3 linked regions of the Danio rerio genome follow. The protein of the gene in region 1 binds, or shares a complex with, the protein of each later gene. Links are inferred from orthologs where the notes say so. Each region holds a gene or a part of one and is shown in the gene's direction. Other genes may lie near its edges.

What was found. The genes of interacting proteins can lie anywhere in the genome.
Region 2: sybl1 (region 1) and bet1l share a complex: the UniProt entries of both Homo sapiens proteins name them as parts of the SNARE complex. The link is inferred for Danio rerio from reciprocal best matches to the Homo sapiens genes VAMP7 and BET1L.
Region 3: sybl1 (region 1) and stx7l share a complex: the UniProt entries of both Homo sapiens proteins name them as parts of the SNARE complex. The link is inferred for Danio rerio from reciprocal best matches to the Homo sapiens genes VAMP7 and STX7.

The regions. Positions count from the first base shown.
Region 1 is NC_133189.1:9,609,540-9,613,712, reverse strand, and holds the start of sybl1 (vesicle-associated membrane protein 7), read left to right. Parts: upstream 1-1,373; 5' UTR 1,374-1,551; intron 1,552-4,173. UniProt on the Homo sapiens protein: Involved in the targeting and/or fusion of transport vesicles to their target membrane during transport of proteins from the early endosome to the lysosome. Required for heterotypic fusion of late endosomes with lysosomes and homotypic lysosomal fusion.
Region 2 is NC_133200.1:8,372,459-8,376,738, reverse strand, and holds the start of bet1l (BET1-like protein), read left to right. Parts: upstream 1-1,480; 5' UTR 1,481-1,530; intron 1,531-2,159; coding exon of another isoform or gene 2,160-2,429; 5' UTR 2,430-2,432; intron 2,433-2,596; exon of another isoform or gene 2,597-2,658; 5' UTR 2,659-2,729; intron 2,730-2,890; 5' UTR 2,891-2,928; coding exon of another isoform or gene 2,929-3,165; intron 3,166-3,249; coding exon of another isoform or gene 3,250-3,405; exon of another isoform or gene 3,406-3,437; intron 3,438-4,280. Other genes in the region: kcnj11l (potassium inwardly rectifying channel subfamily J member 11, like), read right to left, coding at 1,273-1,480, 2,160-2,429, 2,929-3,165, 3,250-3,405. UniProt on the Homo sapiens protein: Vesicle SNARE required for targeting and fusion of retrograde transport vesicles with the Golgi complex. Required for the integrity of the Golgi complex.
Region 3 is NC_133195.1:49,559,274-49,563,493, forward strand, and holds the start of stx7l (syntaxin-7), read left to right. Parts: upstream 1-1,420; 5' UTR 1,421-1,469; intron 1,470-4,220. UniProt on the Homo sapiens protein: May be involved in protein trafficking from the plasma membrane to the early endosome (EE) as well as in homotypic fusion of endocytic organelles. Mediates the endocytic trafficking from early endosomes to late endosomes and lysosomes.

The DNA.
Region 1 (4,173 bases):
GGCCCACATTTGCACCTACACATGTGAGCCACTTTGAGTTTAGACCCAGATTACCCTCTAATGACTATGCCAAATTTTTGCCAAATGTGGCCCACATTTGTCCTCTATCATTTGGGCCAAATTGACCATTTTCCACATGGGCCACATTAGGTTCACATTCAGATTACATTTTGCCATAAGTGCCAAATCTTTGCCTTAAATGGTCCTTATATTAATTGGAATCTTGGCCACCTTTTGTCATTGTACAGGTGGACCACTTCAGGCTCACGTTTATTTTGTCTGGCCCGAAAAAAGACCAACAGTGCAACATAACTGCCTAAAGGGGCCTACATTTGTATGCTATCTGGGTGTTGTTGATATTCAGGAATTTTTATACTTTTTTTTTTTTTTTTACCAAAGAGGCTAGAAAATTTCTAAAGAATTCATTATTATCGTTTTATTATTATTATTATGTTTTAATTATAATTTTTATTAAAATGGCCAAATTGTGACTGAGGACAGTTGAATGTGCTGGCCAGTTTGTTTTTTGTCTAATAAATGATAGTGGGCTACTTTTTTTTACTTTAAAACTTTAACAGATTGCTATTTTTTCCTAATGATAAATGATGTAATAAATTTGTATTTAAAAATAGTCTTGTTTTAATTTTTCTTTATTGCATTTTTTCAGGAAATATTTTCAGTACATCAAAAAGTGTGATTATGATAACATCTGACTAGCTAATCCAGCAAAAAAAAAAAAAAAAATTTTATATATATATATATATATATATATATATATATATATATATATATATATATATATATATATATATATATATATATATATGACTAAAATGTAGTATTTAAATCTCATAGTTAAATAGAAACTGAGGTGTATAAGTGCAAAAAAAATCCACTTTTTGAGAAAAAAAGAACCACCCCTTTCACCAGACTGGCTACGGGCCTGAAAGGGCTATTTTTTACTTTTTTTTTTTGAGTAATATTTACATACTTTTACTCTACTTGCACTACATTTTGGGCAAGTAATAGTATTTTTACTTGAGTATGATTTTTCTACATTTTTTTGAGCAATATTTACATACTTTTTCTCTACTTGCACTACATTTTGGGCAAGTAATGGTACTTTTACTTGAGTATGATTTTTCAACAATCTTTCCACCACTGCTCGTTTTTTTTATGTAGACTACAGAACTCGTTAAAACATCCATATCTTTAAATTGCATCGCAAACCTAGTGCTTTATTTCACAATACAAACCTAATCACATCAAAATGATTAAATCAGCACTATCTACCGTACAGTACCAACAAACAGCTCGTGCGCGCGCGTGTGTGACGCAATGCAGACATCTCTTCGTGGTCGCCAGTGAATGACGAAACGCGGAAGACAGTGACGTTTGTTGATTTCTGGATTTACACACACCGGCGCTATTTTGATCAATCCTAGCATTTCAGACATGTTTGTAAGGCAATGAAAGTGCTGTTTATGCCACTGTGGGTTAAAGACGTCAAAGAGAGGAGCACGAGCGGCTGTTTGTCCGTCAGAATCTCAGGTAACGTACATATAGCGGATGATGATCGATCAACAGATCATATCATCGACTTCATCTGATTTCATCAACAGTATTTTATCATCAGACTAATGTCACGTAGACACTGTTATTTTATTATTTTTCGTCGTTTTGATGTCCTATAGACTAGTCAATAATAACTACAACTAGTGCGATTATTGTATAGCTTTATAGAGGTAAAGTTGGTTTTATATTCGCACATTCGTTCATTTAGCAGTCTGTATATTGTTTACCATGTTACGTTGAATATTCGATCGAAATTAGCTTGCAAGTATGTCTTCAAAACAACATTTAACATTATCTAATTGATTGTGGACAATGTTGTACTTTGCTAGTCACTGGCTGCTTTTATGATTTTCCTATTTAGAATTTGCAAATACTTTAATGACATTTAAGGAGAATGTCTGAATATCCGAATATAATTATAAAACCAACTTCACATCTATTATAGCTTTTACTGTACGTTATTTCAGTTATTAACTTTTGTGAAATCGTGTTGCTTGTAATTTACGCAAGTCATGTTATTAACTGTGTCTGATATGCATGTATACAGTAAGTCAGATAAACTAAAAGCTCACAAATCCATATATTAATATCAAAACATTGATAGTTGCCTGTTGCATAATATAGAATAATATATAAAATAATACATTTGATTTGTAATGCGCTTTATACTTAAAGCGCTACAGGCAAAACACTAATACACAAGGCAAACAAAACAGCACAACAATAAAAGATACAATAAAACAATAAAAATATGAAGCATAAAATAGAAATAAAAAGTTAAACAAAATGATCATCCTAAGTTAAAAGCTATGCTAAAAAGGTGAGTCTTAAGAAGTTTCTTAAAACAGTCCAGAGGCAGCATTTCTAATGCTGATGGAGAGTACATTCCAAAGCTTAGGTGCACTGTGTGAAAAAGCCCTCCCACCCATGGTCTTGAGTTTACACCGTGGCTGATGCAATGTAAGTCTGCAGAACGAAGACTGCAGGCTCCGGTGGCGAGGGTCAACAGGTTGCAGATGTAACTGGGTGCTAACCCATGCACTGCTTTAAAAGTTAAAATCAAACCGTGATTTTACAGGAAGCCAGTGTAATTGTTGTAGCACAGGAATAATGTGGTGGCGTGATGATGTGTGTGTTAGAACCCGTGCAGCGGAATTTTGTATATATTGTAGTCTTCTGAGAGAACTTGCAGGTAAACCCCCAAAAAGTCAGTACAAAGTACAAAAATCAAGACGTGATGTGATGAAGGCATGGATAAGCCTCTCTGCATCAGAGAAATGGTCTGATCCGTGCAATATTGCGGAGATGAAAGAAGGCAGTTTTTTATATCTTCTGTATGTTCAGAAGATTCTGTATACGGTAAAAAGCCCTCCCACCCATGGTCTTGAGTTTACACCGTGGCTGATGCAATGTAAGTCTGCAGAACGAAGACTGCAGGCTCCGGTGGCGAGGGTCAACAGGTTGCAGATGTAACTGGGTGCTAACCCATGCACTGCTTTAAAAGTTAAAATCAAACCGTGATTTTACAGGAAGCCAGTGTAATTGTTGTAGCACAGGAATAATGTGGTGGCGTGATGATGTGTGTGTTAGAACCCGTGCAGCGGAATTTTGTATATATTGTAGTCTTCTGAGAGAACTTGCAGGTAAACCCCCAAAAAGTCAGTACAAAGTACAAAAATCAAGACGTGATGTGATGAAGGCATGGATAAGCCTCTCTGCATCAGAGAAATGGTCTGATCCGTGCAATATTGCGGAGATGAAAGAAGGCAGTTTTTTATATCTTCTGTATGTTCAGAAGATTCTGTATACGGTTGAGGTAAAGTTGGTTTTATATCCCCACATTCAGACTTTCTCCTTAATAATATAATTTTAGAAAAGTATTTTGTGCAAATTCTAAATGGTGAAATGCTAATTTTGATTTAAATTCATACGTGCAATTTCACACTGAATACTCCATTCTATTACCATGTTAAACAATATAGGGAGCATGTCACTAGTTGTCAGTAAACGAATGTGCAAATTTAATAGCAACTTTACAGTGTATGAACGCATGCCTGGTAAACAGTGGATAAAAGGTAAAGTCGGTTTTATATTCGCCCATTTGTTCATTGACAACTTCTGACATGACCCTGTATTGTTTAACCATGGTGTTCGATGAAAAATACAGACTGTGGAATGTGTTTTTAACAGAAATATTTTGTAAACTGAATTCATGAATGTAAAATGTTGAAAACAGCAGATTACTGGCAACCACAGCGGCTGGTATTTTTCCGTAAAATCAAAAAAGGAAGAAAAAAAACAGCAAAACGGTTTTTGTGTCACCATTGTGGAGGTTAGTAGCGTCTGTGTTCAAGTCCAAGATGAACTAAAGAGTATTTAATGTTATGCTGCATCTTCTTTTGTTTAAAGGTGACTGTGTAGTTACTAATGCAGTCAAAATCTGTTTGCTAGTTGCAATCACACGTGAACACATTATTGCATTTAAAGACTTTACATTTTTGTGCACTAAGCTATGATTTTGTAAACTAAACACTGTATTAGTTCATGGTTATATTTCGTACATTTATACAGTTCTATAAAACTTCCATATTTTTCACA
Region 2 (4,280 bases), on another chromosome or scaffold:
TAGATTTTTCTAATATCGTGCAGTCCTACTTAAGGTAATTTTTTACATTCTTCAGCAAACACTGAGAAAATAGGTAAACATGTTTTAAAGCATTGTGTAATCATTATTATCAATAATAAAAATGTCTTGCAGGTAATTCCAAAATAAGTGGCATTAATACGGTGAAAATTTCATAGTAAAATATTCTAGAAAGCCTAAAATTATGACAGATAAGGCATTAGAAGTAGAGTATGTTAACAGGGACACCAATAGTCCGACATTAATAAGATTAAGACAATACTCTTAATAAGAGTCTACTATGTCAGAACTTAATTTTCAATTAGTAATATGCATTACAGGCCTGTAGCCAGCCTGGTGAAGGGTGTGGATCTTTTTTCTTAAAAAGTTGACCATTTTGCATTTATTCGCCTAATTTTTTTCTATGTAATTATGAGGTTAAAATAAGTTGCATTTTTGTAACATTTTAAGCACTATTTTTTTGCTGGATTAGCTTGTTTGATGGTCATCATAACCACATTTTTGATGTTAAGGTTTACATCAATTATCATTTACATCATATACATCAATTGCATCATTAGAAAAAATAGGAATTTGTTAAAGTTTTAAATTAAAAACTTTAGCCTATTGTTATTTAAATATCATTAACATAAAAAGCAAACCGTCCCGCACATTCAACTTTCCTCAGTCATGCTGACGCAACAACCAACACAGGATTCCACATGGTGTTAAAGCCTTTTTCCATGGATTATTTTCACAACTTATTATGACATAGTAGTTATGGGCCTTTGTCAATGAGGGGTGGGTCTTCTGAACCACCTGAAACCCTCCCCTGGCTACAGGCCTGCTTTGTTAATAACTTAATTTAGACAACTTTAAAGGCAGCTTTCCCAATATTTAGATATTTTTAAACCCTCGGATTCCAGATTTTGAAATAGTTGCATCTCAGCATCAATGACAAATGTATTTATTCAGCTTTCAGATCATGTATAAATCTCAATTTCCCAAAATTGACACTTATGATTGGTTTTGTACTCTAGGGTCACATATTAGAGAGCTTATCTATGATAATCCCTTAAAAATACTTTGGCTTTTAAACAAAACAATTACATTAAGCAGACTCTATTCAATCAAACATTCATTCTCCTTCGGCTTAGTCTCTTATTTATCAAGGGTCACCACAGGGAAATAAACCGCCAACTATTCCACCATATGATTTATGCAGCAGATGCTCTTCTAGCCACAACCCAGTACTGGAAAGTAGACTCTATTCACCTTCTAAAATGACAATGATCTCCAGATCTTCGGTAGCCATTGACTGCGCTGAGAGCTCGTACAGTGGACTCCCTCTGTCAATGGTGTGACTGATAATGAGTGGAGAGACGAGGAATATGCCGTTGCTCCTGAGAGGGTTTTCCACCTGGATATCTAACTGACAGACGGGAATCACTTCGCCCTCCGCTGTCACTGTCCGCCGAATAACCTGAGGAGCAAATATCAAGATCAGGATGGAATCAAACTCAAGAATATCTGGTACAGACATGATATATAAAGCATTTTTGGCTCACACTTCACATAATTTGTGTTTGTTATGATAATCAATGTGTATGAAAATCACTCTCCATGTCGAATTTCTAAATTCTTGCATTCAAGATGCCTGAATAGATTTCCATTCTGCCAAGTAATGGCAGAATTTTAATTTTAAGGTGAACTGTCCCTTTAAGGCAGAATTTATACTATCTTTAAAGCTACATATCTGCCATCATTTTGACATCAAATGCCTTGCTTTTATGTTGTCTGAACCTGGTGATAAAATAATGATTAAATAACCTTAGTTTGAAGGACATATTAAAGATCTATAGCAGTGTTTCTCAACCACGTTCCTGGAGGACCACCAACACTGCATGTTTTGGATGTCTCCTTTGTCCGTCAAACCAATTACAGGTCTTTCAGTCTCTGCTAATGAGCTGACGGTCTGAATCAGGTGTGTTTGGTTAAGGAGACATGGAAAATGTGCAAAGCGTGTGGTCCTCAAAGAAACGTGGTTGAGAAACACTGATCTAAAGGACTAAAATGAAGAACTCTCTAATAGAAGGTTCTGTGGATGTTAAGGTTCTTCAATGATTTAAATACATCAGTAAAGAAATAAACACATCTGTCACCTGCAGCTGTATGTTGGCAGAGATGATCATGCTTTTTCTCAGATCTCCAACACGAAACATCAATGTCGGTCTGCCATTCCTTGGGGCAATGACTGCGTTGCGGGAGAAGATGAGGGTTTCTGCTCTGCGGTTGGCTTGAGCTGTCTTCATGAACACACAGCCAAGCATGATGGCGTTGATGATCAGGCCCAGAATGTTCTGGATGATGAGGACTATGATGGCCAGCGGACACTCCTCTGTCACCATTCGTCCTCCGAAACCAATAGTTACCTGGTATTACAAATGCTTCATTATCTTACAGACGATTTAAAGGGGTCATGAACTGTGAAACCTAAAAATCACCTAATTTTTTTTTTTTTACATATAAGAGCTCATAGTTCTCTAAAAATATCCTGTAAGTTTTAGAACTGAACACTTTGTGGTTCCTCTAAATACAGATTATATTGAAGGCAGTCTGAAGATAACAGATTCTTGAATGTTCTACTCTATGATGTAATAGAGTGGATAAGCCCCGCCTCCACAGAAGATTGACGTCAACTTCTACTTCACATCCTGTTCAGCGCTGTTAAGGTATAGTTTACCAAAAATATTACATTGTTTATTCTCCCTCAGTTTTGACAACTAGTATTACGTTTCAGTCAGTCCAATCACAAGTGGATGACATTAAATAAAAATGTATGCGGAGTCTAAAATATTTAGATTACTGAAAATGCATGTCATAATAATTCTAGATGGAAACAGAGTCATATCTATCCAGATTGATCCTTACCTGCACTTCAATGGAGAACAGAAAAGCAGAAGTGAAGGAGTGAATGGATGTGACGCACGGCACAGGTCCGGGTTCATTGGGATCTCGAGGTTCTAGATCTCCATGAGCGAATGCCAGGAGCCACCACACCATGGCAAAGAGCATCCAGGAGCAGAGGAACGCTGAGGTGAAGATGAGCAAAGAATGCTGCCATTTCAGGTCCACCATGGTGGTGAACACATCTTGGAGAAACCGACCCTGAGAAGCAATAATCTCTTATGAACACTGCAACTGAGTCAATTGAAACTTTTCTTTAGCCTAGAACTGATAGGAAAATCTCACCTGTTCTCGAATATTCTTGTGGGCTACATTACATGAGCCGCTCTTGGTGATAAAACGTGCCCTTTGTGACTTTGGCCGGATGCGGCTGGGTTGTGCATCTTCAGCGAGTCGCGTTAACAAGAACCCATCAGGCAAAAGACCTTTGCGGGCCAACATTATGACAATTTGTGGCCAATTGGTGCTCCGCACTGTAGAAGGAATTTAAAAAAAAGAACTAAAATATACAGTAACACTAAGGGTTTCTTGAAAAATAAAGAAAAAATTATGAAGTACATTTCAGTTAATTTAGTTTATCTTTAATTCTTTAGCCCTTTTTACAATGTAAACAATATACAAAGCAGTTTGACATTACATTTTATCATTAATTCATCATTAAATTTAGTGTTTTGTTTTACTTATACTGCTAAAAAAATAATAATAATAAATTAGGTTTACAGTATATATGCATTGAATTGCATAATTTTAAAATCTTTTACCTAAAGGTAACGTTTTGCCTAATAATAATGCAAAAGGTTACATTTATAAATTACATAATGAATAAGGTTATAATAACATTATAATAAAGGTTACATTAATAAATTATATTATTAGGTTATAATAAATAAAAATCGAAGAATTTTTGATGTAACTCGTAATATAATAGTTAAAGCTTAATTTTAATTATTTTTTTTGTTTATTTTATGCATAAACAGATAACTCATAAATTGTCTTTTGTTAGTTGCACAGATATCAAAGCATATTCATAATTTTAAACAATTACATTTATATTTCTTTTAGTTTTTATATTTAACTAATTTAAAATATAATTATTTAATTAAATAAATGGTAATCGTTTATTAAGGGAAAAACTGGCATGAAACTGTCTAATCACGAGCGACAATGCTATTTTGAATAGTTTAGTTTCACTCAAACATAAAATATATACATGTATTATTTCAAATATATACATATATTATAACGTTTTATCATAATTTGGTTGTACATCATCAAAGAAGCGCGTAAGCTCATCGATTATTTTACATATTTCAAAG
Region 3 (4,220 bases), on another chromosome or scaffold:
TACAAACAGTGCACACAAAAAATAAATAATTAAATATATATATATATATATATATATATATATATATATATATATATATATATATATATATATGTGTGTGTGTGTGTGTGTGTGTGTGTGTGTGTGTGTGTAAGTGTGTGTGTGTGAGTGTGTGTGTGTGTATGTATATATATGTATGTATGTATGTATGTGTGTGTGTGTGTGTGTGTGTGTGTGTGTGTGTGTGTGTGTGTGTGTGTGTGTGTGTGTGTGTGTGTGTGTGTGTGTGTGTGTGTGTGTGTGTGTGTGTATCAGGCCCGGATTGGCTAATCGGGAGGACCGGGAGAATTCCCGGTGGGCCGGTGCGTTTTTTGGCCGCGAGGGCCGGTGTCCCTAGCTCTAGAATCTGTTGCTCTCAGCAGTCACACTTTTTAAATTAATTTATTTACTTACTTGACTACAGTCTTCTTATTCATCATTTTACCGCAGCTCTGCTCTTTTTATATATGACCAGCCTGCAGGTTAATGACGATATTAGTCAGATGAGTCAGTCCTTCATATACAACTGTTGTGGTCCAGTGGTTAGCACGTTAGATTATGACGCTAACTTTCAGTAACTCGCAGCGACATATATAATATATATATATTTATATATATATAAATAATTTTTTTTGTCAATATTTAATTTACTATTAATCTCACTTAATGACAACGGTGAGCACACTGTTTGCAGCACAAGACTATTCTTGGTTTAATTTTGGGGATCGTCCTCTATGTGTAGTCGTGGCCTTTATTTTTTATGTACACGCGTGCCGTAAAGGTGTCAGAGTTTAACATTGTGCCATTAATCTAGTGTAATAACCCCAGGGGTTGGAATCCAATGGGAAAAGAATTGAAAGGCTGATGGCTTTTTATTTGCATGCTGTTATTTTATTTAACTATTAAATACCATGTTTATCTTCTGTAAGTTATGGATAAAATATGGCTATTCTAATAGTTTAATAACATATATTAAAGAGAAATCACCAAGCAACCCACCCTCATTGTCTCACAAACCCCAATTTGGGAACCACATAGCTATACTACTAGTAGCCTACATAAATGTTTATGTGAAGTATGCTTAAGATATATCAATATTAACTAACTATACTTAATAAAAAGGAACGTGAAGTATACTTCTTTTTAGTAAGGTTAGGCTACTTATTACCCATGTGGAAACCAAGTTAAAGTCTACTTTATTTTTGTTATGTAGGCTAGTTTTTTTTTTTTTTTACTTTTTTAATTGGGGTAAGTTAATAATAATAGACATCTGCCTAGTATTTGTCGATCTAAACATATAGTACATAAACTCAATAGTTTAGTATATGCGTCAAGTACATTACTAATCTACTACATGTTTCTGAACGCACACGGAAGATAGAACAGAAGTCACGTGACCCGCGCGTCAAAGAAATCAGCTGAGGGCTCGGAGTTTCACTCAGGAAATCCAGGTAAACCGAACAACCAAAGTACATATTAAAGTAAACGATGCGTATTTATAAACTGTACATGTGTGCAGACTTTACGTAAATAGTTGTTGAGGGTAGTTTAAAAGAGAAGTCAGTAAAGTAGCAAGCGCAAAGTTCATTCACTGAAGCATATTTGTTGACAGCGCGATTTGTGTTCACTTGACATGAAACTACACTGTAAGATTCCCGAATGTTAATGTTTGTTGTGTGTCAGCAAAGTTAAAACAATAGCTGTCTAGTTTTATAAATGAAAATGCGTGTTTGTGAGTTTGTGAGCCGTGATTTCCGCATTCTTTCGTTTTGCAGGTGCAGCGCAGATCGGTTTTACTAGTCATCTGTTTAGTACTAGCCTGCTAACCAATAAACAACATTACGCCAGCTATTTTCGAGTAATTATTGAGCTAATAAGGCATATTTCAAAGCAAGGTGAGCAACTATATGGGGCAAGTTTTCTCGTTAATTCAAAATGACAACAGTAATATCATTAAGGGAGATTCTAAAACGCATGAAATAAGCTTAATAATTGAGGTTAAGTTGATTTTATACTATAGACTTTATCCTTAATAATATAATTTTGGCTAAGAACTGCACATTCTGATTAGGGACATCATATTAGCATCTAATGACTTTCAAAGTACACGCTGCTCTCAGTCAATTAAATAATGCTAATGTTTAGGTCATACTTACATGTGATTTCAGACTTCATATATAAAGTAGCATGGTAAACAATATAGGGAGTGTATCACAAGTTGTCACTGAAAGAATGTGCGAATATAAAACCAACTTTGCCTCAATAGCTTAATATACCTAAACATCAACCAGAGAAGCCCACATTTCGATCAAACTTTACTTGTAATTAACCCGAACTACTGTTAAGACAGAGTCCCAATTCCATAAGTGAAAAATATCACGCTAAGCGTTTTCTCCACTATTGAAGTCTATTATAAGTAAAAGCTTAATGTGGCTTAATGTACCTCAACAACAAGTGGGGGGAACCAAATTTCTATCAAATTTTACTTGTGGTTAGCACTAACTATATAGCAAAAAAATTAAAAATTTGCCCCATTTCCACAGCTTAAGTGAACAGCGTTTTTCCCTATGTTGTTGTGGGGATGTCAATGACATGCACAAGTGCATTCTTTTGACAGCAAAGGGTTAATCTATAATAAATTAAGTTAGATTTTTTGAACAGCTTTTTTATAATTTGGTTTCCCTCTGTTTTTAAGTCAAGCTTTCCTTATTAAGGACTTCAACGGGGAAGAAAACACTTAACGTGATATTGTTAACTTTATCTGTGGAATTAAGGCCCATTCTTTTAAAAATAGTTTGTCTTAATCACAAGTAAAGAAATTTGGGTTTCCCTGGTCTGGGTTAAGATATGTTAAGCCACGTTAAGCTGATTCCTTATAATGCGCTTCTGTGAGGAGAATGCTGAAAGTGATATTGCTCACTTGATACACTAAAATAAAAGCTTGTTCTTTTACAGCAGTAAGTGTTTTTCATGAATATATATCTATAGAAATTTGATTGTCTCTAGATGTTAAGTTAAACCACATTAAGCTGTTATAATGGACTGAAATGGGGATAAAATGCTTAACAACATTGTCCGCTTTATCTACAGACTAAGGGCTTGATCTTTTGATAGTAGTTAGTGTTAATCACAAGTATTCGATAGATTTTTGGTGTACCCCACTTGTTGAGGTATACATTAAGCCATGTTAAGCGTTTTCCTTTTATAATGGACTCAGTGGGGAGAATTGCATACCGTGATAATTTTTACCCACTAAAATAAGAGCTCATTCTTTTGACATCAGAAAGTGTTTGTAACTTTTATAGAAATTTGGTTTCTCCCACTTGCTGTTAAGGTACATTAAGCCACGTTAAGCTTTATCCTTATAATAGACTCCAATGGGGGAGTAAACGCCTAACATGATGTTTTTCAATTTATCTGCTTAATTGGGACTCATTCTTTTTACAGTAATTAGGGTTAATTACAAGTACAGTTTGACAGAAATTTGGGGTTTTCTGGTTGATGTTTAGTTACATTAAGCCCCGCTTTCTTCATGTTAAGCATTTTTGAATGTCCCCATTAATATAATTAAGAAACGCATACAAAATAGTGAGCAATTGTTTTGGTCTCCAAATAGTACAGTACGTTTTAAGGGTAACTTAAAGTTGGTTTATATTCACACATTCAGACTTTCTCCTTAATATAATTTCAGAAAACTATTCTTTACTAATACTAAATAGTCAAATCATATTCCCAGCAAATGACAATTAAAGTACAGCATTGTTCATGGTCAATTAAATAGTGCTAATGTTGTTTTGGAGGCATATGATTCAGACCGAATATTTAAAGTAGTAAACAATATAGGAAACATGTCACAAGTTGTCCCTAAATGAATGTGGGAATATTAAACATTAATAAGTATGTATAGTTTGTGTAAAACATGTTTACAACTCGTGAAAGTCTGTCACTACTTGACATTTATTAAAAACGTCGCAAATCCAGCATTTCAGTTCATACATGTTAATATACAAACTATTCTGTAGCATGTAGGATCAAATATAATGATAGTTGAATGTTATTGAAGGAAGAAATTGATAAGCCATATGTAAAAACACGTTCAAATAGTATGTTTTAGGAGCAATGTATATAAGAAAACATGTTTATGAATAAATTGTATAAGCTTGTTATTATGTAGCGCAGTATAAGAGATAATTGTGCGATTG